Linked DNA regions of Saccharomyces cerevisiae S288C. Changing the gene in region 1 together with any one later gene gives a genetic interaction. Each region holds a gene or a part of one and is shown on either strand. Other genes may lie near its edges. The genes, in order: PPZ1, SMC3, RAP1 and TOR2.

What was found.
Region 2: mutations in PPZ1 (region 1) and SMC3 together harm fitness more than expected from each alone (negative genetic interaction), as found in Saccharomyces cerevisiae (2 studies listed by BioGRID).
Region 3: mutations in PPZ1 (region 1) and RAP1 together harm fitness less than expected from each alone (positive genetic interaction), as found in Saccharomyces cerevisiae (2 studies listed by BioGRID).
Region 4: mutations in PPZ1 (region 1) and TOR2 together harm fitness more than expected from each alone (negative genetic interaction), as found in Saccharomyces cerevisiae (2 studies listed by BioGRID).

Annotation. Positions count from the first base shown.
Region 1 is NC_001145.3:238,923-243,457, forward strand, and holds PPZ1 (salt homeostasis regulator), read right to left. Parts: upstream 2,615-4,535; coding exon 536-2,614; downstream 1-535. Other genes in the region: TATA-binding protein-associated factor TAF11, read right to left, coding at 3,067-4,107; TRM9 (tRNA (carboxymethyluridine(34)-5-O)-methyltransferase), read left to right, coding at 4,303-4,535. UniProt on the Saccharomyces cerevisiae protein: Essential for the maintenance of cell size and integrity in response to osmotic stress.
Region 2 is NC_001142.9:298,630-304,652, forward strand, and holds SMC3 (cohesin subunit SMC3), read right to left. Parts: upstream 4,221-6,023; coding exon 528-4,220; downstream 1-527. Other genes in the region: NET1 (Net1p), read left to right, coding at 1-185; APQ13 (Apq13p), read right to left, coding at 1-247; JEM1 (Jem1p), read left to right, coding at 4,552-6,023. UniProt on the Saccharomyces cerevisiae protein: Involved in chromosome cohesion during cell cycle and in DNA repair. Central component of cohesin complex. The cohesin complex is required for the cohesion of sister chromatids after DNA replication.
Region 3 is NC_001146.8:239,694-244,672, reverse strand, and holds RAP1 (DNA-binding transcription factor RAP1), read right to left. Parts: upstream 2,985-4,979; coding exon 501-2,984; downstream 1-500. Other genes in the region: IES2 (Ies2p), read right to left, coding at 1-205; PPN2 (putative serine/threonine-protein phosphatase), read right to left, coding at 3,362-4,342; ssDNA-dependent ATPase MGS1, read right to left, coding at 4,672-4,979. UniProt on the Saccharomyces cerevisiae protein: Essential regulatory protein in yeast whose DNA-binding sites are found at three types of chromosomal elements: promoters, silencers, and telomeres.
Region 4 is NC_001143.9:57,322-65,152, forward strand, and holds the start of TOR2 (phosphatidylinositol kinase-related protein kinase TOR2), read right to left. Parts: upstream 6,039-7,831; coding exon 1-6,038. Other genes in the region: MNN4 (Mnn4p), read right to left, coding at 6,609-7,831. UniProt on the Saccharomyces cerevisiae protein: Phosphatidylinositol 3-kinase homolog, component of both TORC1 and TORC2. TORC1 regulates multiple cellular processes to control cell growth in response to environmental signals. Nutrient limitation and environmental stress signals cause inactivation of TORC1.

The DNA.
Region 1 (4,535 bases):
CCCTTCAGTTGTTTTGAATTTTTTTTTTAAAAAAAATTCGTCTTTCTGATTAATCAATTTTGATTATATATTTTCTCTTGATTAGTTCACAATTTTTATAGGCCCTTATTTCTTAAAGAAGTTTTATGAAGTTTCGTAAGTATTGGGGGGGTTGAAAATAATCTCTCACGTTATACGCAATAAAAAATTAAAATTAAGGAGAACCAATCTATAGAAACGAACCATTGAATTTAGCTATATGACTATATACCATTACGTAATTTATATAAACAGCTTAATATAGCGAAAGCAAAGTAGAACGAAATTTCGGAGAGTTCTAGATTGTATAGAGCGAATGAGCATTCAATACACACGCGAAGGCAGTAGGCGATGAAAGGAAGTTTTTTAATGTCATTAAGAAAAAGATAGGGAACTTCTATTTCCTGTCTTTCATATATATATATATATATATATATATATATATGTGCATATGTACATCGTTGAGTTGTTCATGAAATAATGAATATAATACTTCTGGATTTTTTAGTCAGTAAATTTACTGTTGAGATTCGTTATCATTTGTGATGCTTGTTTCCATCATTTGCTGTTGTTGATTAGCCAGTTTTCTTTCCTGTCTACCTTTCTTCATAACTTGCTTCAAAGCTGCACTATCTAGTGGATCTAACAATTCAAAAGAGCACAATAAACCTTCGCTGACGCTCATTACAGCCCCCCAATTATCAAATTCACCACAATAATTTGGCGCGGAAAACACCGTAACGAGACTTCTATCATTGAAAAATTCATAACCGTCTTCCACAACCATGTGAGCTCTACAAACCAAATCAAACCCAAACTTGTTCAAGAATTTGTTAATTGCCACCTTATTATAACAGTAACTTACACCACGTTCGTTATCCTCCCATTCGTTGGGTGAATCTGTGGGATCGGACCACAAAAGATCATTAATTAAGCCAAAATCTGGTACATCAGTAGGCCTAACTACATGTCTGATTTCATCCATAGAATTTAAAACTGGCGACAATCCACCATGAACACAAAAAATCTTTCCGGCTACGATAGCAGCTAATGGTAATGTATTAAAAGTATCGATGAATGTCTTCCAGATCTTGATGTTACAACGACGTTTACATTCATCATAAAATCCATAAACCCTTGTGACGTTAGCACATTCATGGTTGCCTCTCAATAAAAAGAAATTTTCAGGGTATTTTATTTTGTAACAAAACAATAGTAAAATAGTCTCCAGTGACTGTTTACCACGGTCCACATAATCACCTAGGAATAAATAGTTCGAGGATGGTGGGAACCCACATTTGGTAAAAAGCCTTAAGAGATCCCCATATTGGCCATGAACGTCGCCTACAATTTTTACAGGAGGTGATAATTCTAATAAGGAAGGTTGAGAAAGAAAGATTTCACGAGCCTTGATGCAAATCTGTAAAATTTCATTGTTCTTCAAACAAACATTTTTTGTTCTCTTAGCAGCGTAGCCCGCATCCAGTAATTTTTGGATAGTTTCATCAATATCGATAGGCTTTTTGAATTTTTTTGGAGCGTTTTTGTTTCCGGAAGATTGCATTATATCATTAAATTCCTCATTCGGATCTTTTTTGCTATCTGTTATATTATTATTTTTATCATTAACATTTTCCATTGATGCATGGATATTACTCAATTGAGATGAATTTTCAATGTCATCATCATTGCTGATGTGTTTGCTCGGGTAAATATCGCGACTTGAATGGTGATTCAATGAGGAGGTTGAATTAGAGGTAAAGTATTCACCAGAGTGATCTGTTAGCTTGGACAAGCCTGGAGAGTTTAATGGGGTGCTGTATGCGGTATTACCATCTGATCCAAACGAAGATTTCCTACTGTGTAGCGAAGATGCATGAGAATTTGACCGGGTTAATGCCTGAACGAGATAATTCTCCTGATTGTTAGAGGAGTATGATCCATTGTTAGGCTCTTCATGGGTCACATCTGATTTCCTTCTTGACACTGATCCGCTTCTTATACTGGACGGACGAGAATTCGAAGATCTAGAAAACCTTTTAGTGTGCGAGATGTCGTTGTCTTTATCATCATTGTCATCATCGGTTAAGGCGTTCTCATAATAGGTAGATGAGTATGAAGATTTATGCTTGGATACGTGTGTGCTACTATTGTTTGTTTTTAAAATGGGTGACTTGGGTTCCATTTGGATCATTGAAGGTGGTAAATCAGCAGCAGCCTTAGTATTATAACTTGATCTTCTAGAAGTAGAAGGCCTCTTAGTAGAGGATGATGAAGGAGTAGTTAACAATTCGTTTTGAGAATTTGAATGCGAGTGTGAGCTAGATGGGAAATGGTAACGATTCGTGTGAGAGCTATGTCGTTGGTGATTAACCTCAAGATTGGGCTTTGATGGAGTGGAGGGATCAGGGACGTTTGAATTAGTATTCGTAGTGGACGAAGAAGGAAGAGATCGCCTTGATCTTGAAGATTTATTTGATTTTGCAGACTTCACAGAATGGGAAGTCTCGGTTCTCGACACTTGAGGACGAGGATTTCTCGAGGAGGAATTCGAATGTGAATCCTTTTTCGAAGATTTTGAACTTGAATTACCCATTTTGAAAAGGAAGGAAAGATAAGCAGAGAGTGGTTGATTTGTTGTTTTATGACAAAGCCTCTAGGGGAAAAGAAGCGACTATAACGATGAAATAAAAATAAAACGATAAAGAAAAGTATAATCAAATGTATTCCAAAGAAGTACTTTTATATATAATCTTTATATTTAACTTGAAAGAAAAAGATTTAACATGTATTGCCAAAACAAACAAAACTAATAATGGAAGCTATTGTATTGTGCTTTTATGTTACCCACCTGCCAATGGTTCACAAGAGAAAGCTGATTAACAGAATTAGAAGATCTGCAGTAATCGTTTTCTTTTTTTTTTTTTCATTAATTTATATGCTATCCTTTTAAAAATAGACATGTCATTTCAAACGACATGTTAAAAATTATATATATGTTTATATATAGATTGATATATGTTGGAGCCGTTGGACAATTATGGGCAGCTATCTGAACATGGATCCCTGCCCTTCTCCTTGAGTTCTCCAGTAAGCGTTAGGCAAAGTGTCCGACTGCAGACGGTAGAGTCTCCACGCCTCACGGATGTGTTCGGGCAATAAGGGACTGTTGTTATATTTCTCGATGCTTACATCTAGTTTGTTGAATTGGAGGACGAGCTTATTGTACTGCTCGATGAGTTGTAGCTTCAAGTCCTGTGAATTATGGTCTGATTGCTGTAAGGATTTGGACTGTAGCAACGAGTTGCCCAGCGTAGTTTCGCGCTTGTCTACTTCTTCATCGTCGAAGTAGAAATCAGGTTCGTCTTCGGGAACGCTATCGGATTGATAATCTTGCTTGTATTGCTGGTTTTCTATGATGGAGAAAGTCAATTTTTTTAGATATTTTTTCAATTTATAGCCTATTTTGGTCCTCTTATCAAACTCTATGCACATTTGACTTGTCAACCACTTATTCTTCACAATCATGGCCAATTCGATTATCTCACCAGCGTATATTTTTCCCACCGCTTGCAGAAAAACACGAATATTTTCACTTATAGTTTGATTAGCTACTGTGCTAGCCAGTTTTTTGACCTGGGTTTTGTTTAGGGATGTTCTATGGAAAACTTCAAACCGATTAGTTTGATCTTTATCCAAGTTGGTTACCAAGAGCTTGAATTGTTCGTCCTGCGCAAGTTTTTCATTTTCATCTTCGTTGGTATTGGTGTCTTCGTAATTGCTATTTTGTGTTTGCTGTTGTAAAATGTCTTGTGGAAAGATCAGGTTTTCTGGGACTTTGTTGATAGAGTCCGGGTCTTGCTGATTTATCCTGGTTTTCTGGTATTTGTATTTTGGATATTTATTTAATTGGTTGTTGATTGATGTACCACCCGTTCGCAGGTTTTGCAATTTCCACGTAACGTAGTCCTGGTCCTCACTGATGACTTGGTCAATCATTTGTTTTGTGGAAAAATAGTTTGCTATTGTCAGTATTGGCGGATAGTTCACTTTCGGGATGGTGTCCAAAGGACCTTGAGGTTCGGTCATCGTTGCGCTGTTGAAGCTCAAACTTACTTTGTGCTCTTCATTTATATGGATAATTATCTCTATATACCTCTTCTTGATTTTTCAATTTCTTTCAACTTTTCAGTCGAAGAAATGGGAATAAGAGAAAAAATTCGGTAATGAACTGAACAGAGATGAGGTCTCGAAGAGCCAAGAAATAAAAGGTTAAGAACCAACATGGAGATAAACCAAGCGGCTGAAAAAGAACAGGAGTATGTTCACAAAGTGTATAATGAGATAGCTCCGCATTTCTCGCAAACTAGATATAAGCCATGGCCCATAGTGACTCAGTTCTTGAAGACTCGCCCAATGGGTTCCATCGGTATCGACGTCGGGTGTGGCAATGGAAAGTACCTCGGAGTGAACCCTGATATATATATTATCGGTTCAGATCGCTCAGATGGTCTTAT
Region 2 (6,023 bases), on another chromosome or scaffold:
GTTCGGACTCCGTATCGGATTCCAGTTCAGATTCTAAATCTGAGTCAGATTCTGATGACTCAGGGGATTCATCTGATGATGGAAAAAGTTTTATTAGTGCGAAATCCGCTAGTGCTGCTTTAGGTAAGAAGAAGAAGCCAAGTGGTGGATTTGCATCATTAATAAAAGATTTCAAGAAAAAATGATACCAGAAAGTCTCAGTAGAATACACGTCACAGAAAGCTAGTAAAAAAAAATAATCAAGCATATAAAAGTATTAATATATTAAAAAATCTTCATGTAAACCAATTCTTATTTACCTCTTTTCCCAGCAAGCGGGCAACTTCTTTAAGAAAAGTAATCTTTTTTGTACGTCGAATTATCAAAGCTTGGTTACTATATTTAACATTATTGTTTAGTAACAGTATCATCTTAAAAGAAAATTTTTTAAAATTCCAATATAGGAGACAATGGTAATAATTACATACAAATAGCTATTTATGTAAGCAAAACTGATATTTTTATATACAAATCGTTTCAAATATCTCTTAGACTTCAGCGAATTTATTGCTACCTCTAATGAATCCGATTGCTTCTTCTCTATTGACCTCAATAACCGTGGAAATCTTATTCTCGTACTTAACACGGAAAAATTTGTCTGCAACTTGCAACATATCTGTTCTGAACGTCGTACAAATAAACTGGGCATTTTTTGACAGTTCTTTTAGAAGTGTAGCGACTGCAGTTCTATACTGCTTGTCGAGTGCAGCATCAATTTCATCAAACAGATAGAAGGAAGCAGGGTCAACCATTTGGATTGCCAGAATCAAAGCAATGGCACATACAGTCTTCTGACCACCTGAGAGCTGTTCAACATGCAGTTGTTCGTTTTGTTTAGAATTGAAGGAAACAGAAATTGAAACACCTGTATACATAATTTCACTATCTTTACCGTTTTGGCTTTCATTGGATTCTGCATCCATGTCAACATCAATACTTTCATCATGGTCGTTAGCGTTATCATTCTTACGGTGAATAATCAACTTAGCAGTACCTCTGGGAACTAATCTTTCAAAAACAGCTTCAAAGTTTTCAGAAACCTTTTGGAAAGTAGAATCAACCGCGTTAACCTTTTGTTGTTTTAACTTAACAATTAGATCTTGAATTGAGTCTTTAGATTCATCCAGCTCTGAAGCTCTCTCCGCAAGGTCTTTGCGTCTTTCGTTAAACTTTTTGAAGTTTTCAAAAGCTCTCTTGTTTACATTCTTCAAACCAGAAATCTCTGTGTTCATATCATTCAGTCTTTGTAATAGCTGATCACTTGTGATGTCGCTAAAATCATTTACTAAAGCATCCTCTGGCAGAAGCCCAATTTCCCTAATCCTTTGCTGTAATTCTTCTCTTCTAGTAACCAAAGTTGTTTTCTTAATCATCGTTTTTTCAACACTTTTTTGGAAATTGTCAAGCTTCTTTAATAGTAATCGCTGTTGATTGTTTGCTTTTTCTAGCAGTTTCTTATTATTAGTTTCTTCAGCAATGAGACTTTCAATTTCTCTTTGAACGGTACCTAGTTCCAACACAGCGTTTTCATGCTGCTTTTCAACGCTTTCCTTCTCCAATTGTAATTCTTTCAACTCATCTTGTAGACCAAAAATAAATGCGTCACCTACTTCTGACATCTTGGATTCTAGATCATTTTCTTGTGGGATAAGTTTGGACTCCAATTCGGCATTCAACGAGTCAATGGTTGTAGTTATACCTTCTAGGGCGTCTGATGTAATATTTAGCTTATTGTGCGCTGCACTAATCTCCTTTGTTAAAGATTCTAATCTTTCCTTTTCTTCTTTTGAGAGTTCGCTATCAAACTCCTGAAGCAAATCATTTTCGAATGTATTTAGCTTTTCCTGAGCAAATGTACGATTTGTATTCAGCTTTTCTAGTTTTAGTATAATTGCGTTTAATGATTCTTCGAGAATTAATTTTTCATTCTTTTTGGTGTTTAGCGATGTTCTATATACCTCGATATTTGTTAAGACAGACTCCCTGTCATTAGAAACCTTTCTTATATTCCCGTTTACTTGATCAATCTTAGTATCAATATCATTTAGTTCATTTCTTACGAAATCTAATTCTTCCAGTATTTTTTTGTGTTGACTTCTTGATTCATTTAAGTTTTTCAATGATTCCAAACGTGTTCGTTTGTGCTGGTCAAGATACCCACCTGTAAGTACACCTCTTTTGTCTGCTCTATCACCATCTAAAGTGATGGCATTGAGTTTGTGTTTCTTAGCTAATTTTAAACCTTGACCTAAGTCTTTGACAACAATAGTTTTTCCAAAAACGTGTTTGACAGCCTTCTCAAACCTGGGTTCATATTTTATCTTCTTTATCAAGGGAGTAAACTGGATTTGTGTAGTAGTGTTTGAGGGGAATTTAACATCACTGTCCAAAGATAACCTGTTCAAGGGAATAAACGTCACTCTCCCACCCTTCATACGATATAGTTCGTTCATAATCAAAGTGGCCGTTTCTTCGGTATCCACGACAATGTGGAAGAGGGAGTTACCTCCAATTACTTCAGCACATGTCTTGTACTTATCATTGACTTTAATCAGTTCACCTAATGTCCCAAAGACAGATTCCGGTGATATTTTTAGTTTTTCTGTAATTTCTTTCACATTTATTATACCATTTGCCAATGATCTACTCATGGTTTCATTAACATTTCTTTGATTTTGATTGACGTCACTTAATAAAGTTTCCAAGACTGTCTGTAATTTTTGCTCCTTTCTCCACAATTCCTTACGAGTGTCTAAACTTTCACTCAGCTTCTGTTTGAGGTGTATTAATTCCGAATCAAAATCTTCTAATTGACCCTTGGTATCTGGTCCATTGATAGAATCAATTAGCTCTTCAATCTCTTCATCAATCGCAGAGTACTGCTTCCTTAAAGAAGTACGATCCATTTGCAATTGACTTTCCAGTTCATTTAAGTTTTGTATTGAAGATTTCAGTTCTTCAATTTCTGAATGAATCCACGTATCGCGTTCATCCTTTGATTTAAAACGGGCATATTCTCCTTTCTTTAAGATAAGATCTCTCTGCTTTTGTTGCAAGGAGGCCAATTGAAGTTTGTACATTGCTTCTTCCTTTGTGAGTTCTTGATATCTAGGTAAAATTTTAGACAACTTTTGTTTCCTTTGCTCAATTATAGATTTGATCTCTTTCAAAGTTGCACTATCCAAATTTCTCTGCTCCTCATTTGACTCAATTTGCTGTTGAACATCCTTTATTTTTACGTTGACGTTTGTTAATTTCTGAGAAATCTCAGATTCCCGTAGTTTTGCCTGTTGTAAATCAGTCGCATTTTTGATCTTCAGTGAAGCTTCAATACTTGATAGCTTTTTGGAGACTTGGTCAATCATATCCTCTCTTTTATCCAACTCCTGGATGTATTGTTCGGAAGAGTATACCGTGTTATTATAATCACCGTCCAGTCTTTCCATTTGATTGATAACCTCATTTAATTCTCGATCATACAATGTGAACTGGTAGATCTTTCTGTTGCGTTCCAACTCGTTGTATTTCTCTAATTCCTTACGTTCCTGTTCCATTTCACTCAATTTAGAGTTTAGTTCACCCATTTCCTTGTTAATTTGAATCTTTTTCTGCTCTGTTTCCTCCATTTTTTTCAATGAAGCTTTCAATTTTACTTCAAATGACTTAGCTCCTACAACATCTTCCAATAACTGCAATCTTTCCTTATCCTTGGCATTAGTTAAGGCGACTATTTTACCTTGTGGTACTATATTATACGGATTATTCATTGAAAAACCAGCGGTTTCCAACATTCTGACTATGTCCCCTTTGGTCACGTTTCTGTCATTTAATTGATAGTCATCCTTCTTCAGCCCTACTGTTCTTCTAATGGTCACTTCGTCATCTCCTCTCGAAAGTACACCGGAGGGCAATATCATAGAATGATCTGGATCGTGGAACACAATTTCTACCGAGGCACTCATCACTGAACCACCAGAACCTTGGTGGATAAGCCCTTGCCTTTCTTCCCTCTTAAGATTAGAGTAATCGTCACTAAGAACAAATCTAATCGCAGCGAAGAAATTCGATTTACCTGAACCATTGGAGCCAATAATAACATTCTGATGCGGCGAGAAATTATCAATAATGGTTTCGTTCCTGTAGGTTTTAAAACCCTTAATTATCACCCTTTTGATATACATTGCAGACGTGAACTATTACCGTTACTCCAGCAGGTCGTCTTGTAAAAAAATGGTGAAACTGTTTAAAGATGAGGTTGAAAACTCATCTTTAATTAGTTTAATCATTTCCTAACGCGTCGCGTCTTTTCCTATTCCTGAGACTTTTTTTCTTTAGGTTCCTAATAGTGAAATGTGACAGGTGTACACTTCGATGGCAGGCAAAAATAGAGCCAAAACTGCTTATAAGTTATTCCAAGTGAAAGGAGTTGGTTGCGAGAAGGGCCCAGAAGGTTTCATTCATTGTTGGTTTAGTGTATTACTAAGGCCGATCTTAACGTCTACGAAACGAAGTATGATACTGATCTCGGGATACTGTCTTTTAGTGTATAGCGTTATTTTGCCAGTACTGATATCGGCTTCTAAGTTATGTGATTTGGCTGAGTTACAACGATTGAACAAGAATTTAAAAGTAGACACTGAATCCTTGCCAAAATACCAATGGATCGCTGGGCAGTTGGAACAAAACTGCATGACTGCGGATCCAGCAAGTGAAAATATGTCAGACGTAATTCAACTAGCCAATCAAATATACTACAAAATTGGGCTGATCCAATTATCCAACGATCAACATCTAAGAGCTATTAACACATTTGAAAAAATCGTTTTTAATGAAACTTACAAAGGTTCTTTTGGGAAGCTGGCGGAAAAGAGGCTACAAGAGCTGTATGTCGATTTTGGGATGTGGGACAAGGTGCATCAGAAGGATGATCAGTATGCGAAATATCTGTCCTTGAATGAAACCATCAGAAACAAAATATCATCCAAAGACGTTTCTGTGGAGGAAGATATTTCTGAGCTGCTACGCATAACGCCGTACGATGTTAACGTCCTCTCCACGCACATCGATGTTCTTTTTCACAAACTAGCTGAAGAAATTGACGTTTCGTTAGCTGCTGCTATCATTTTGGATTACGAAACAATCCTCGACAAGCATTTGGCTAGCTTAAGCATAGATACAAGACTTTCGATTCATTATGTCATATCTGTTTTACAGACCTTTGTACTTAACTCAGATGCGTCGTTCAATATAAGAAAATGCCTTTCCATTGATATGGACTATGATAAATGTAAAAAACTAAGCCTGACTATTTCCAAATTGAACAAGGTGAATCCATCAAAAAGACAGATCCTGGATCCAGCAACATATGCATTTGAGAACAAAAAGTTTAGAAGTTGGGATAGAATTATTGAATTTTATTTGAAGGATAAGAAGCCATTTATTACACCAATGAAAATTCTTAACAAAGATACAAACTTTAAAAACAACTACTTCTTTTTAGAGGAAATTATCAAACAATTGATAGAAGACGTTCAACTGTCGAGACCTTTGGCAAAAAATTTATTCGAAGATCCCCCAATAACCGATGGTTTTGTCAAACCAAAATCATACTATCATACCGATTATCTAGTATACATTGATTCCATTCTTTGTCAGGCTTCTAGCATGAGTCCGGACGTCAAGAGAGCTAAACTGGCTGCGCCGTTCTGTAAAAAGAGTTTGAGGCATTCACTAACACTAGAAACATGGAAACACTATCAGGATGCTAAGTCCGAGCAAAAACCTTTACCTGAGACGGTATTGAGTGATGTATGGAATTCCAATCCTCATTTGCTGATGTATATGGTAAACTCAATACTTAATAAAAGTAGGTCTAAACCTCATTCACAGTTCAAAAAGCAATTATATGACCAGATAAACAAATTTTTCCAAGATAACGGCCTCTCAGAGTCGACCAATCCATACGTGATGAAGAACTTCCGATT
Region 3 (4,979 bases), on another chromosome or scaffold:
CCACAGAAAGTTCTTTATCTCTAATGCGTTTTGAGGTTCTTACACCCTTAGGTACACTCCTACGTGCTGTTCTTCTAGATGATTTGGCTGTGACTATCTGATCGTCAATATCTTCCGTATAATCATCATCGTCAATGTATTCTTCCCCACCAGCTGAGACGCTGTCGGATAACTCTGCCTCAATGTCACTTGCTTCACTGTCCATTGTAGTCTGCTAATCGCCAGTTATTTGCTAGTTAGGCGTTTTATCCTTGAAGAAAAGACACGTTAAAAATGAGAATCTTCGTTCTGCGTTATACTTTCCTCCTTTTCTTCTCTCTTTTTTGCTAATGGGATTCTATAAAACTGTTCCGCCTTAATCATTGTAAGAATTTTGAAAATTAAAATACGTAAAAGTTTACATAAATTATACATTGAACTGAAAAACAAAGTAGAAAACGTGAATCAGTGAAATAAAGGAGTAAAATAAGTTAAACAATGATGTTACTTAATTCAATTACTCATAACAGGTCCTTCTCAAAAAATCTTTTCCTCATTTCCATTCTACCAGTTCCATGCTTTTTAACCAGTTTCCTTATTTGTTCTTGATCATTGCTTTTTAGCGATTCGTCGTCATCATGTGTCCAAATACCAGGAACGTTGGGAGGAGGATTAACATTGTCCTTAAACATGTTCAAGAAATAGCGAGGAAAGACCATCAGATCCCCGGATAAACACGTCAATATGCTCGTACTGAAATTTTTACGTATACCAGTTTCATCGCAAAGATCCTGTACCAGTTTTTCAGCCTGTGATGGCTCATAATCTCCTGAAATAACTTCATGAAGTTTATCCATAAATTGTCTCGTACTGCCAAAATGAAAGAACAATGGCAGGAAAAGATCTGTTGTTGCAATTTTTGGTGGAAAGCTTATGGTATCAGGATCAATATTATCATATATATCTTCATTCGAAAAATCGCTTCTTATAGCTTCCGCAATCTCGTGTGGATACTCAAAGGGCAAACTATTTGAAATATTGGATAGATCATTCTTTAAACTGGAAATGAAATTCATGGTATCTTCGTCCAGTAATTCGTTTTCTGGTATAGCGTAAGAGTTGGAAGCAGCGGCAGCAGCAGCGGCAGCAGCATTAGCGGACGCTGCATTGGCAGTAGGCTGAACATTTCTTTGAGAACTATAATTTCTTGCCCTCTTGGCGGCAGAGTTATAATTGCCAGGAGTGGGAACGCCAGGCCTCTTGGGTCTATTGGTGAGGTTCTTCATCGGTTCCGGCTCTCTATTCTGAGCTTTTTCAGCTTCATAATAACTAATATAATCATCAATGCCGTAAGCGAGAAGAAACTTCCTAAACCTATCTCTCCAAGCATTCTCAGTATGTGCTGCATGCTCTTCGGCAAAATGCTTGAAAAATTCTCGTGCAATCGGTCCCCTACGGCTTTGGGTTCTGTAAGCTGCAAAGTTGGGTTCACTCCCTGGCACATGATTTGGATCCATTGTCATATTCCTCCTCGCTATAGCAGTGGGTGTATCCTCATCTGTGATAAGTGATCTTCCAGTATCAGGGTCGATTTGAAACAAATCACGATAAAACTGCTTCTTGACCGCGATTGCCAAAGTGTAATCTTCATCTGCTGAAAATTTCCTTTTAATTGATGGTGGCAAAACTTTAGTCTTTATCAGATTTCCATCGTCGTCTCTAACCAATTTACCAAACTTGTCAACCTCATAAACGTACTCTAGTCTTTTGGAAAGATAGACTCTAAATCGGTGCCTAATAGAATTACCCGTGTGGTTAGGCACATAATGGGATATTTCATCGTAAAGAGTATGTGTTGTACGCCTGGTTGGATTTTTTCTCACAACATCCAAAATAAACTCATCTTCCTCATCTGTAAAAGAAGCTTTATTGTGGGAGGGCAAAGCGCCTCTCGAAATCATGGACCTTTGTGCTTGAAAAGATGCATTCCCCTCATCTGCTGTTTGAGGGTTGTTGTCCTGTGTCAAAAGATCATTGTCTTCGTCGTTGACGTTGCTATTATTATTATTGGAGGTATCTTTTTGAGGTTGTTCGATCTGGACCAAGTCATTGTGCCCTCCGCTTGTGATTGATGCGGTGCTGCTTACATGTTGACGAAGGAGCTGAGCTTGCTCTTGTAATCTAGCTTGTTGTTCAGCGTCTACCATAACTTTTTCGCTGGTTGAGTCTTCCGTAGCGCCATTAGTATTCGTAGAGATTATTTCTGTTTTGGGCCTGATAGAATCCTTGTTATCGCTATTGCTATTGCTATTATCTACACCATTAGAATGCGATTCCTCCTGCAACCTACTATCGACAACTTCTCTAAAGTTATCGTATGGTACTAAATAATTTTCCATGTTCAGTAGCGAGTTGCTTTGACAACATGCCTTAATATAAGTCGGAGTTACCGTTGGTAAATTGGTATGATTATAGGGTGACACGATGAAAACATTCTCTTTTGATTCTCTTGGCTTGGAGTCTAGCACTTCACCACCGTTTGCTCTAATCAGACGCGCTAATTGATCAATATCATTTAAAGAGTCATGCGCATCCGCGTCGCGATTAAGATAGAATTTCATATTTGACAGAGGAGGACCACTTACTTGTTCCTTTTTCTCATCAGCAGCGGTGTCATCAGTAGTAGGTTCAGTAACAGATGCACCTGATGTCGAAGCAATGTTAGCGGTAGCAGCAGTATCAGCAATGGAAGGCGTGGTAGTTGTTACACCGACTTCAGTGGTATCATCATCATCTTTCTTTTCGACCTCCGTCTGATCCACTTTCTCACTAGTTTCAGCAGCAGTAGCACCAGTGTTTTCTTCGTTTTGATTAGCTTTTACCTCAGCGGCTGAATCCGATGGCGCTGTGACTGCAGCAGAACCACTGTCAACAACGACCATACTCGGATCCAATGCATCAACATATTCTGCTGGTGCAGTTTCAAAATCATCTGGACTAGACATATTGAGATAATCTGTACGCAAATAGTGTCTTATGTAGGGCGGTTGCGTATACAACGGTTTGTGTTTACTACCTTTTGGGCTATGGGTTTGTTTTGTTTAAAACGTGTATTGATGGTGTTTAGGTGCTGGATGTTGGGTGTTGAAGAAATGATTGCGGTTGTCTGTTTTCGGTTTTGTTTTCTTTTCTCGCTAAATTTTAAAACTTCAACAACGAAGAAGAGGCGGGTAGCGGCCATTGGGCAAGAATACTTGTAGCTCCAGCGAAAGTTTCATTGAAATTTAAGATTCAGTATTATGAGTTACATAATAATATTCATATCTTTTTCATATAGTACATTATATAAAATCTGTTGCGCTTTTAAGTAGTACTTTTTGTTTTAAGAGCATTGTACTTGAATTAATTCATAGTCATATTGCCCCTTCTTAATATCGTACTTCACTTTCATAGATGAAAGCAGATTGTTCTTTATACATGCTGTGTCCAAACCTTTGGTCTGTCTCCGTAGGTTTAGTCCCATGGATGCATCGTGCCCGTAAAATACTTTGGCGTTACTAAAGTGGTCTCCGTATTTGTCCCACAGTGTGTACCATCTCACATAATTCTTGTTTTCCTTTTCACGTGATGTTTTTGACCAGTTCTTCTTATCAACGTACTTCATGTTTGACAGAGAGCTCACGCCCGGAATTTGGTTGGGCTTCATGAAGTCTCCCGGAACCATCCCTGCATGTGCACCAAAGAGTATATCACCGGTAATATCCAGATCTAGTTCTATGGCCATAGAACAATGTTCCGCTAGCTGACTTAATTTGGAAAACCCAAGTTCGCGAGCTAACCGTCCATGTGCGTTGCTGATTTTAGAGATGTCTTGTGGTATGAAATTAGTCTCCGTACTGAAAGTTAAAGGTGTCATTAATTTGGGGCGTCTTACCCATTTCGAGAAGTCTGGGTTTAAATAGGCCATCATGACCAATATTTCATGATTGCCCAAAACGCACTTGACTTGATCCTTGTGATTTAGAATATACGACACGACCTTGTCTGAGTCCGGGCCCTTGTGAATAAAGTCACCCAGCAATATCATTGTTATATTTTCTCCTAGTCCTCCAATCTTGTCATCAATGAGTTCTATGAACTCATCATAGTTACCATGAACGTCACCAACAAAAACGTACTCCTTATTTAAATCTGTTACATGCTCAATTTTCTTCAAGGTGCTAATTGTAGGCAATAAGGAAACTGGTGGAGACAACCGAGGGTTATCAAACTTGAATATATATAGTGTATAAACGCAGCATGCCACAAATAATATCAATGCTGTACTAAGTGTAGCGGCTCGTCTTTTCCGCTTATCTTCCATTTTTGCGTATCTATGCTCCTCAAGCCTGGCTCATTTTACAAGCTGGAAGGTCGAGGAAAAGGAAGAACTAATTCAAGAATAATGTGCTCTTCTTATAGGATGCGTATATGTTCTAATATATCTCAGATGGGCCCGCGAGACTTTTCTAGCATGAAAAAAAAAGGTGGATCCTTGATTATCTAAAATTATAGTTTATATCGTTCATGCTGCACAAAAACGTGCCAGCAATGCAATGCGCCTCAAGCGTAAAAAAACAAGCGGCATTGGCCAACAGAGAAAAAAATATGAATTGTAGACGCGGCATTGAGAGAAGTATGGAAGACCCTTGACTAACCCTGATATGACTGTCTCAAGTCAGGATCTTCTTTGTCTCCTAAATGTTTGCCGTCCAGGAACTTTAAGTCAGTTTTATTTGGACATTTCTCGAGCACTTCTTTGGGAAAGTAGTCTTGTTGGACTTTTCCTTCAATATAATCGGGATTGTACTTGTAGCCTTTATGATAACCCAGCTCCTCCATCAATTTGGTTGGCGCATTTCTGATATGCATCGGTATCTCACTGCTTGCTAAACTGTACATGTTCTCGCTCATCATTGCCCTTAATTTCTTCCAAGCTCTATATAGTTCTACTGACTTTG
Region 4 (7,831 bases), on another chromosome or scaffold:
GAATTTTGGAACGATATTTCCCTCAAAGTTTCCGGTCCTCTCTTCAGCATTTCGTACAGAGGCTCTAAAGCAGCAAACATTTTTTCGGTATTATGTTCTCCAAAAAACTGCCTACTGGCGTCATCCAGACCCTCATACCATTGCTCATGCCAAAGCACCGCCATACGTATCAATTCGTGGCTGACAAGTTCAGCCTGGTCGACCAAAACTGGACTATGTATTCTCATCTTTTCTATGATGGACAAAGCTGCTTTCTGTCGTGAGAGAGATTCGGATTTAATCGCAACCATTAAGGGGTACACTAATGCCTGCGGATGAGCCTTACCTAGATCAGATAATAGGGAGAGTAATGACCTACTAACAATTTGATTGGGTTGATGAATTCTAGAAATTAACTGTGGCAACACTTCTAACCATGTGCCTATTTGGATTAGGTTGAAACCCTCGTGCATAGCTTGGGTTGCTTCTGGAATACCACCAAAAGTAAACCATAAAGTTAATAACCTTAATGCATCTTGAAGAGAGCTTGATTCTGATAAAGAAATGGAATGAAAAAAACCCTTAATTGCTGGAATTACGTGCCTGTGTATTAAATTAGAAGAGTAATGAACTTCCTTAGCATCAAATGTATTGACGCCGATCATGCCATTATCAAACTCATTAATATCAGTTACCGAGGAAGCATCACTTCCTTCCTGTTTCTTTTTAGAGACAGATGTTAGCATAGAAATGACTTCAAAATTGGCCAGTGCCCAGTTATGCCACGCTTTGTACCATGTGTTGTCAAAATGTGTAGCGAGCAAATAGGAGCCTAGGATCGAATCTGGATTGCTCAATCTCCATTTAGGCTGTAAGCAAACTCTCCATTCTCCTTGCTTCAAGAAACAACGAGCTAAAAGCTTAGTATAATCTTCAACGTGACGAGGGACTCTTTTGCTTTGTTGAGGAACGCTTTGAGCTATCATATTATTTGGATCCAAACCTAAATCATGAGCCATTCTAGATGTGAAATTAATTAATTGCTTCAAAGCCTCATCTTGCAACCCCGTAGCCCACAAGTACTTCAGTTGTGCATAAACAACTGGAGGGGATGCCTTAGCAGTATTAGGATGATCTGGGTCATCTGTTTCTTCAAGCAATGTATTTAAGACTTTTTTAGCTAGCGCCATCCTACCCGATTTTCTGCATAAGTTGGCAAACTTAATCCTCACTTGAGCATCCTCCTTTGGCTTTATCACCAATGATCTGACACGCAGAATTCTTTGCCACACATCAATATTTTTTTGACAGCCCAGTAATCTGGTATTCCAAGTTTCTCTCATAGTTAGACGTTTATCTGAATTTTGTGGCAACTTCTTATATTTGATGATTTCCTCCAACTCTGCTATAATCTGCGCTCTAACAACAACATTATATGCTCTATTGTAGCTTTCATTAACAAGAGCTGACAATTCAGTAACTAGAAGATCCCTTGCATTAAAGATGTGAACTTCCGCCTTCTTAAAATTATTCCTATGCAAACATAAAATTGCATCATAGAATTCTTTATCTGGAGACTGCGATTTCATGACGCTAGTATACTGGGCTATTTCATCCCATTGCTCCAAACCCCAGGCAGCGCCGGCAGCCAAAGGCGCCATTGCCTTCTTCACTTCGGGTTTTGCCGTGCCCCACTTTTCAGATGCCAATTTAGAAAGCTCTTCCCACTCTCCAAGGGCATATAACGATCTTAATTTTCCCATCATCACTTCAACCGAATCTTCTCCTGCTGCCTCCTTCTCATTATATGCTGCAAGAGCATCCTCCCAACGTTGAAGTTTTTCATACCAAGTTTCCTTCAGCTGCAATTCATTGTGTTGTTGCGCATGCTTCAAAATACCAATAGCAGAATCAGTTTGGTGAAGTTGATTATTAATGCTAATCAATGCCTCGATTGTTGAATTTTTCGGCTCTTCTAAGAATTCTACCTCTTTGTAATGTAGTGCCTTCGCAAAAGCATGACATTTTTGGGCATACTTACCTAATGTATGGATTGGGATAGGCAATGGTTTGTCATCGTGCTCCATAAATTCCACTAAATTTAACAACATTTGATAAATCTCGGGTGGGTTTTCAGAGGATGATAAAGCCTTGCATAATGCTTGAATCAAATCCTCTTGGTATGACGTTTGAAGCTCAACCCAGCAACTTGAGAATGAAGCATTAAACAATTCTCTCGCCAACGGATAATAAACGCTGACTAAACTCGAACAGGATCGTAGACAAGCTGAAGGTGATTCCTTTAGAAGCTGAATAGATAGCCTTCTTATCCATTCTTGCCAATCTTCTTTGGTCTTCTGTTGAGAACAATACCATGCATTCTTTAGGATATTTTGGTTTACCGGTAATTTCGTTACTTGCATTTCGTCTTCATAATTTTTCCTTTCAGGTACTTCGTTCTCCTTGTCAAATATGATATTTGTTGGCAAGCATTCATTGTTCAGTAATTTATTAACCAGTTGATCGTACACTGAATGCTGAATCCTATTCCTCAATAACGCCTTGTTAATCACTGGCACAAAGACCACAAAGTCGGTACCTAGTTGTAAAAGGAGCAAACTTAGCGTATTCATGGTTGCTTTTGTTAGTTCTCTATCCCCATTATTCAAAATTCTTACCAACGCCTGAACAATTCTTGATGACATTTCAGAGAGGTTGATATTCTTTGCTAATCTACCCAAAGTTATAATGGAGATTTTCTTTAGACTTCCAGCAGAATACTCAGTCATTCTAACAACGATAGGCATAATCAAATGGGAATAGTCTTCTAGATTCGGCCCAAAAGTAACCAAAGATTTTAATATACGAATCGGAACGATCCTTTTATTAGACTGGTCGTTCTCAAGAATATCAAGGAAAAAGGTTAGAGTCTCGGGAACAAATCTTTTAAACTCACCTTCCAGAGCCTTAGATATCGATTCTATGACAGAAATAATTGTGATTTGTAGTTTAATGATCGGGAAAAACTCCCTGATCACACCATAAATTTTCTCGACATGGGGCCTAATATGTTGCTTGACAATTGAGATGAGAGATCCCAGTTGCTGAAAATAAAAGTCAAGTTGGGACGGCGGGCATGAACGCATGACTAAAATGATACCTGGAATAATTTGATCCAAAAAGGAGACACATCGTAAACCAAGGTTTTGAAAAATATGCATAATAGCTTGAATAGCAGCCGTGTGATGGATTGACAACGATGGATCATTCAATATCTTCATCAGATTGTGGATAACTACAGTGGGGTAATATTCATCGTTGGATGGAGATACCCCTTGCATTAGCAATGCGATGTCGATTGAAGGAGCATTTTGCTCTACTGAACTCTTTGAGTTTGATGTGACTTCTATTTCTCTGTGCTTATATGGATCAAGAGCGCCTAATATACCAATCAAACGAACAGTTCCACGCCTGATATGAGGGTTGTTTTCAGTCTTAAGAATATTTATCAAAATGCCAAGTAACTCTGGGTAGTCTAGTAAAGGGCCAACAACATAACCAGAGGAAGCAGCCAGCTGTCCTAATGTTGTTAAGGCGGCATCTCTTTTAAAAGAGTTTGATTGGTCCTGAAATGTGTTAATGATCAATGGCATCAATTCCTTTAAGTAACGCGTCATTTCTTTTCCTCCAACAACAGATAGTTCACCCAAAACCTTTAAAGCGGTGGATGCTACGGCAGATGAAGCATCCTGGCATTTAGGAAGAATGACGTCTAGAATAGGATCAATATAAGGTTTCGCTACTTCATCGCTGGAATTTATCAGCGTACATAATAGAGTTGCACTTTCCTCCTTTTTTTTTGGCATATTTGAGAACTTCAATTGCGTTAATAGTTCCAGTAAAGTTTTCCTCAAAGAAGGAACTACATAAGCGGGGTTGACAGAACTCAATCTGCCTATTATTTTGATAGCTTCCAATTGAATACCAAAAATCTCATCGTTCAGCGCCATGAAAAGTAGGCGTAAATTGTCTGGTTGGGCCAATTGAGGATCAAAATTTGACCCCAAATGCTGAAGAATTTCCAATCTAATTTCTGCAACCGGATCAGTTATTGCGATCATTAATAGCTTACTTAGCACTTCAGAAACCGAGTGTAAAGCATGAACTGATGTTTGTTTACATATATCGTCTTTGATAAATAAATCACACGACGTTAATGCTGCCAATTTTCTGACAGACGAATCCTCATGCTCAATGTAAGAAATGGTTATAAGCCTAACAAACTCCGTCAAGGAATATTGATGATGAATTAGTTGCAGCATTTTAAAACACTGAATCAAAATTTGGGCATCTGTAATATCGTCATTAGATTCACCAGTTTTTTTCATGAAACTTTGGTTTCTTGATTTACGAGCCTTTTCAATGGAAAATTGATTATTAAAATCGTATTGGTTTGATTGAATAAATTTTTCACCAGATAAGGATATCGACAGTAAATTTAGTATCCTCGAATTAACGGTAGATTCCAAAGAGGGTATTTTCTCGTTAAGGATCATTAAAGTCTCCTGCATATGGTCGGACATTGGACAGTTTAACATCAAATTAAGAAGATCTTTGTTCAAGTGCTTAGCAAAAGCTGGGCCCAAAGCACAAGCTAATTTACCAATGCAATAAAATAAATCCTTCTCGAATTGTTTTCTAACTTTGAATTTCGTTCTTAAGCCTTCCCTAATATTATCCAGAATAAGTGTCATATAGGGTGAAATGCTCGAACCAACTTCAAATGCAATATCACCTATAGAAACTAATATAAAAGGTTTATCCGAATTATTTGCAGCATTCATATCGATGTTCTTCAAATATCTTAAATAATGAACCATTATCCTATCGAGATATTTCTTTGTGAAAATGGCAGGGTCAAAAGCAGCTAAAAGAGGTAAAATAGCATAAACTTCTCTCCTTATAACATCAAATTTATATTCCTTGTACTTCATAGTAGATTTGTAAATATCATCATATTTATCCCTGAGATAAGGTGCTTTCAAGCTGAGTAATTCTCGAAATACCAACAGAGTAGCATGCACTGAATCATTCGTATTGAGACTTAAGCCATGTGTACAACCTTGAAATAATCTTTGAAACCACTGTTTTCCCAAAGCAGGGTCTCTATCCTGAATAATAGTAAGACATTTACCCAATGCCACTGCGGCATCTAATCGTATAATTAACTTTGCATCCCTTAATGGCACCCAAATATTGTCTAAGATAGAGTTAACGTAAGGGTATAAAAGATAGGGTGAATTGTCTGCTAATGCCTTTATGATTAATAGCGCAGCATGTCTCCTGTATTCCAACTTAGAGCTCGATGAGTTATTATCTGCTGTCAGAGTAAGCCAATCAATGCAAGTTCTGACCTCAAATTCGACGAAATCTGATGTTAATGTACCACCTGGCACGGTCAATCTACCTAAGGTGTTAGCCGCTAATCTCATAACTTCAATGTCACTGGATGGAATTAAAACACGTAAATAGTTCGCCAGTCTTGAAGTTTGGTTTGGCAGCTCCTCTGTACTCAGGTAGAATGAGATCAGAGTATCAACAGCAAGAATACCACCTATCTTCTCACTTGAAGTAAACCCGTGAATAAGTTCAAATATCTTATTGTTTAAACTGTTGCTAAACCTTTGAAATTGCTCAGCAGATACTTCCCTTGCTAATGAGGTCAAAGTAGTGCTTAATTCATTAGCGCCAGAGGCTCGTTCTTGTGGCACATCGCTTTTAAGTTTATCAAAAATCAAATTTAAAGTAGAAAATGTTGTATCTAGTTCTGAATCTACAAAGGATATTTTACCAATATGACCAGCAGAACCAGTGATCACTCTACCAGAGTCATTGGGCCCATTGTGATTGGAATCTGTGTTTGAAGTAGTTGACATCTCATCATCGTGGGAGTGCGATTTGTGTGTAAGTTTCTTTCTTGTTCTGTGTTTGCCTTCGGCCCTTTGTCGTAAAGACAATAAGTTAGGTGGCGTGGTGTATTTGTTAATGTATTTATTCATTTTTCATATGGGGAAAGTAAAGATCAGAAATCTCTTTGAGAAAGATAACTATTTGATCTTAATGACTATGCTCTTTATGCACCCGGTATATTTTCCCTTTCTACTGCTCCTAATCTACCTGTAAATAAATACAAGTAAAGCTCAGTTAAGGAAGTGATTGGTGTCACGATGATAAAAATTGGTCTTTCCTACTGTCATTACATTTCTTCCAATTTTAATTGCTGCCATATATGTCAGTCTCTATTCAAACATATTCAGTGCTTAAAAAGGAATATCCGGGTAAATATTCTGACATCGCCCAAGAAATATACGATATAACTTAAAGAAAAGAGTTGTAGTAAGCTAATAGCATTAAGATTAAATGTATGTTTGATTAATTGCAATATCATGATGTTATAGAGTAACGTGGTATAATTACCACGATTCCGTCGAATTGTTTGCCACTTATCACTGGCGCCAAAATGCAGCAGTATGTAAAAAATGACGGTAATAAATATATAATACAAATGCATAGAGGAAAGGCTATAGAAATGAAGAGATTCATGAATTTTCAGTCAGGTTCTCCGACTTTTAATTGCTGTGCCCCTCCTCCTGCTTCTTTTTTTCCTCTTCTTCGTTCTTCTTCTTTTCTTCCTCTTCCTGCTTCTTCTTTTCTTCATCTTCATTCTTCTTGTTTTTCTCTTCCTGCTTCTTTTTTTCCTCTTCTTCGTTCTTCTTCTTTTCTTCATCTTCATTCTTCTTATTTTCTTCATCTTCATTCTTCATCTTTTCTCCTTCTTCCTGCTTCTTCTTCTCTTCTTCTTCCTTCTTCTTTTTCTCCTCTTCCTCCTGCTTCTTCTTTTCTTCTTCTTCCTTCTTTTTCTTCTCTTCTTCTTCCTTCTTTTTCTTCTCTTCCTCTTCCTTCTTTTTCTTTTCTTCTTCTTCCTTCTTCTTCTTTTCCTCTTCTTCCTTCTTCTTCTTCTCCTCTTCCTCCTTCTTCTTCTTCTCCCTCCGCTTTCTTTCTTCAAGTAACTTGGCATAAGCATAGTCCTCGTATACAATAATAGGGTCCTTATCAAACATTTGAATACCCTTTCTGTTAACGTCGGATAAAGTTGGCGCAAAAAGGTCTAAACCATATGAATTTAAATCCAAAAAGGAGTTGCTACTAAAGTTTAAATTTGATTTAAAATCCACAGGATTTACTTCAACAGTATTAGCAGGAGTATAATCTTCTGTGTTATCATCTAGAGTTGTTCCAGTTTCATCAAAAGTAATGTTGAAAAGTGAAAAATTCCTGTATTTCAAACTTTCGGACAGATCAATAATTTTTCCGACATATTCTTCATGAACAATCTTGGTAACTTGATCTAATGTAGTCTGGTTCATAGATTTTGATAAATCCTTCCACATAGCTTTTTCATAACCAAAAAGAAATGGGTCCTTTGCAGGGGAGCTTAACTTAGGAGCAACATTAATGCGCAATTGATGTAATAATTTCTTTTTTTCAATAAATGTCAGGTTTTGGCAGTATTGAATTTCCAATTCCTTTTGCCTATATGCAGTGACATTGAAGGAATTGTACAAGTTAGTAAATACCTCGATAAAGCCAGCTTTTGGAATATTTTTATAAATTAAGCGAACATCATCCATGGATAGGTTTTTGAAAGAGTATTCAGAGACTTTGTTGGAATCAAAAAGTTTCGACTCAAATTTCGTAGACGATATTTCTTTCAAGAGGTTCGGATTCCATGAATTAATACTGGGGATGTTTGGATACCATGAATTAATATTACTGCATTTCTTTAACCCGT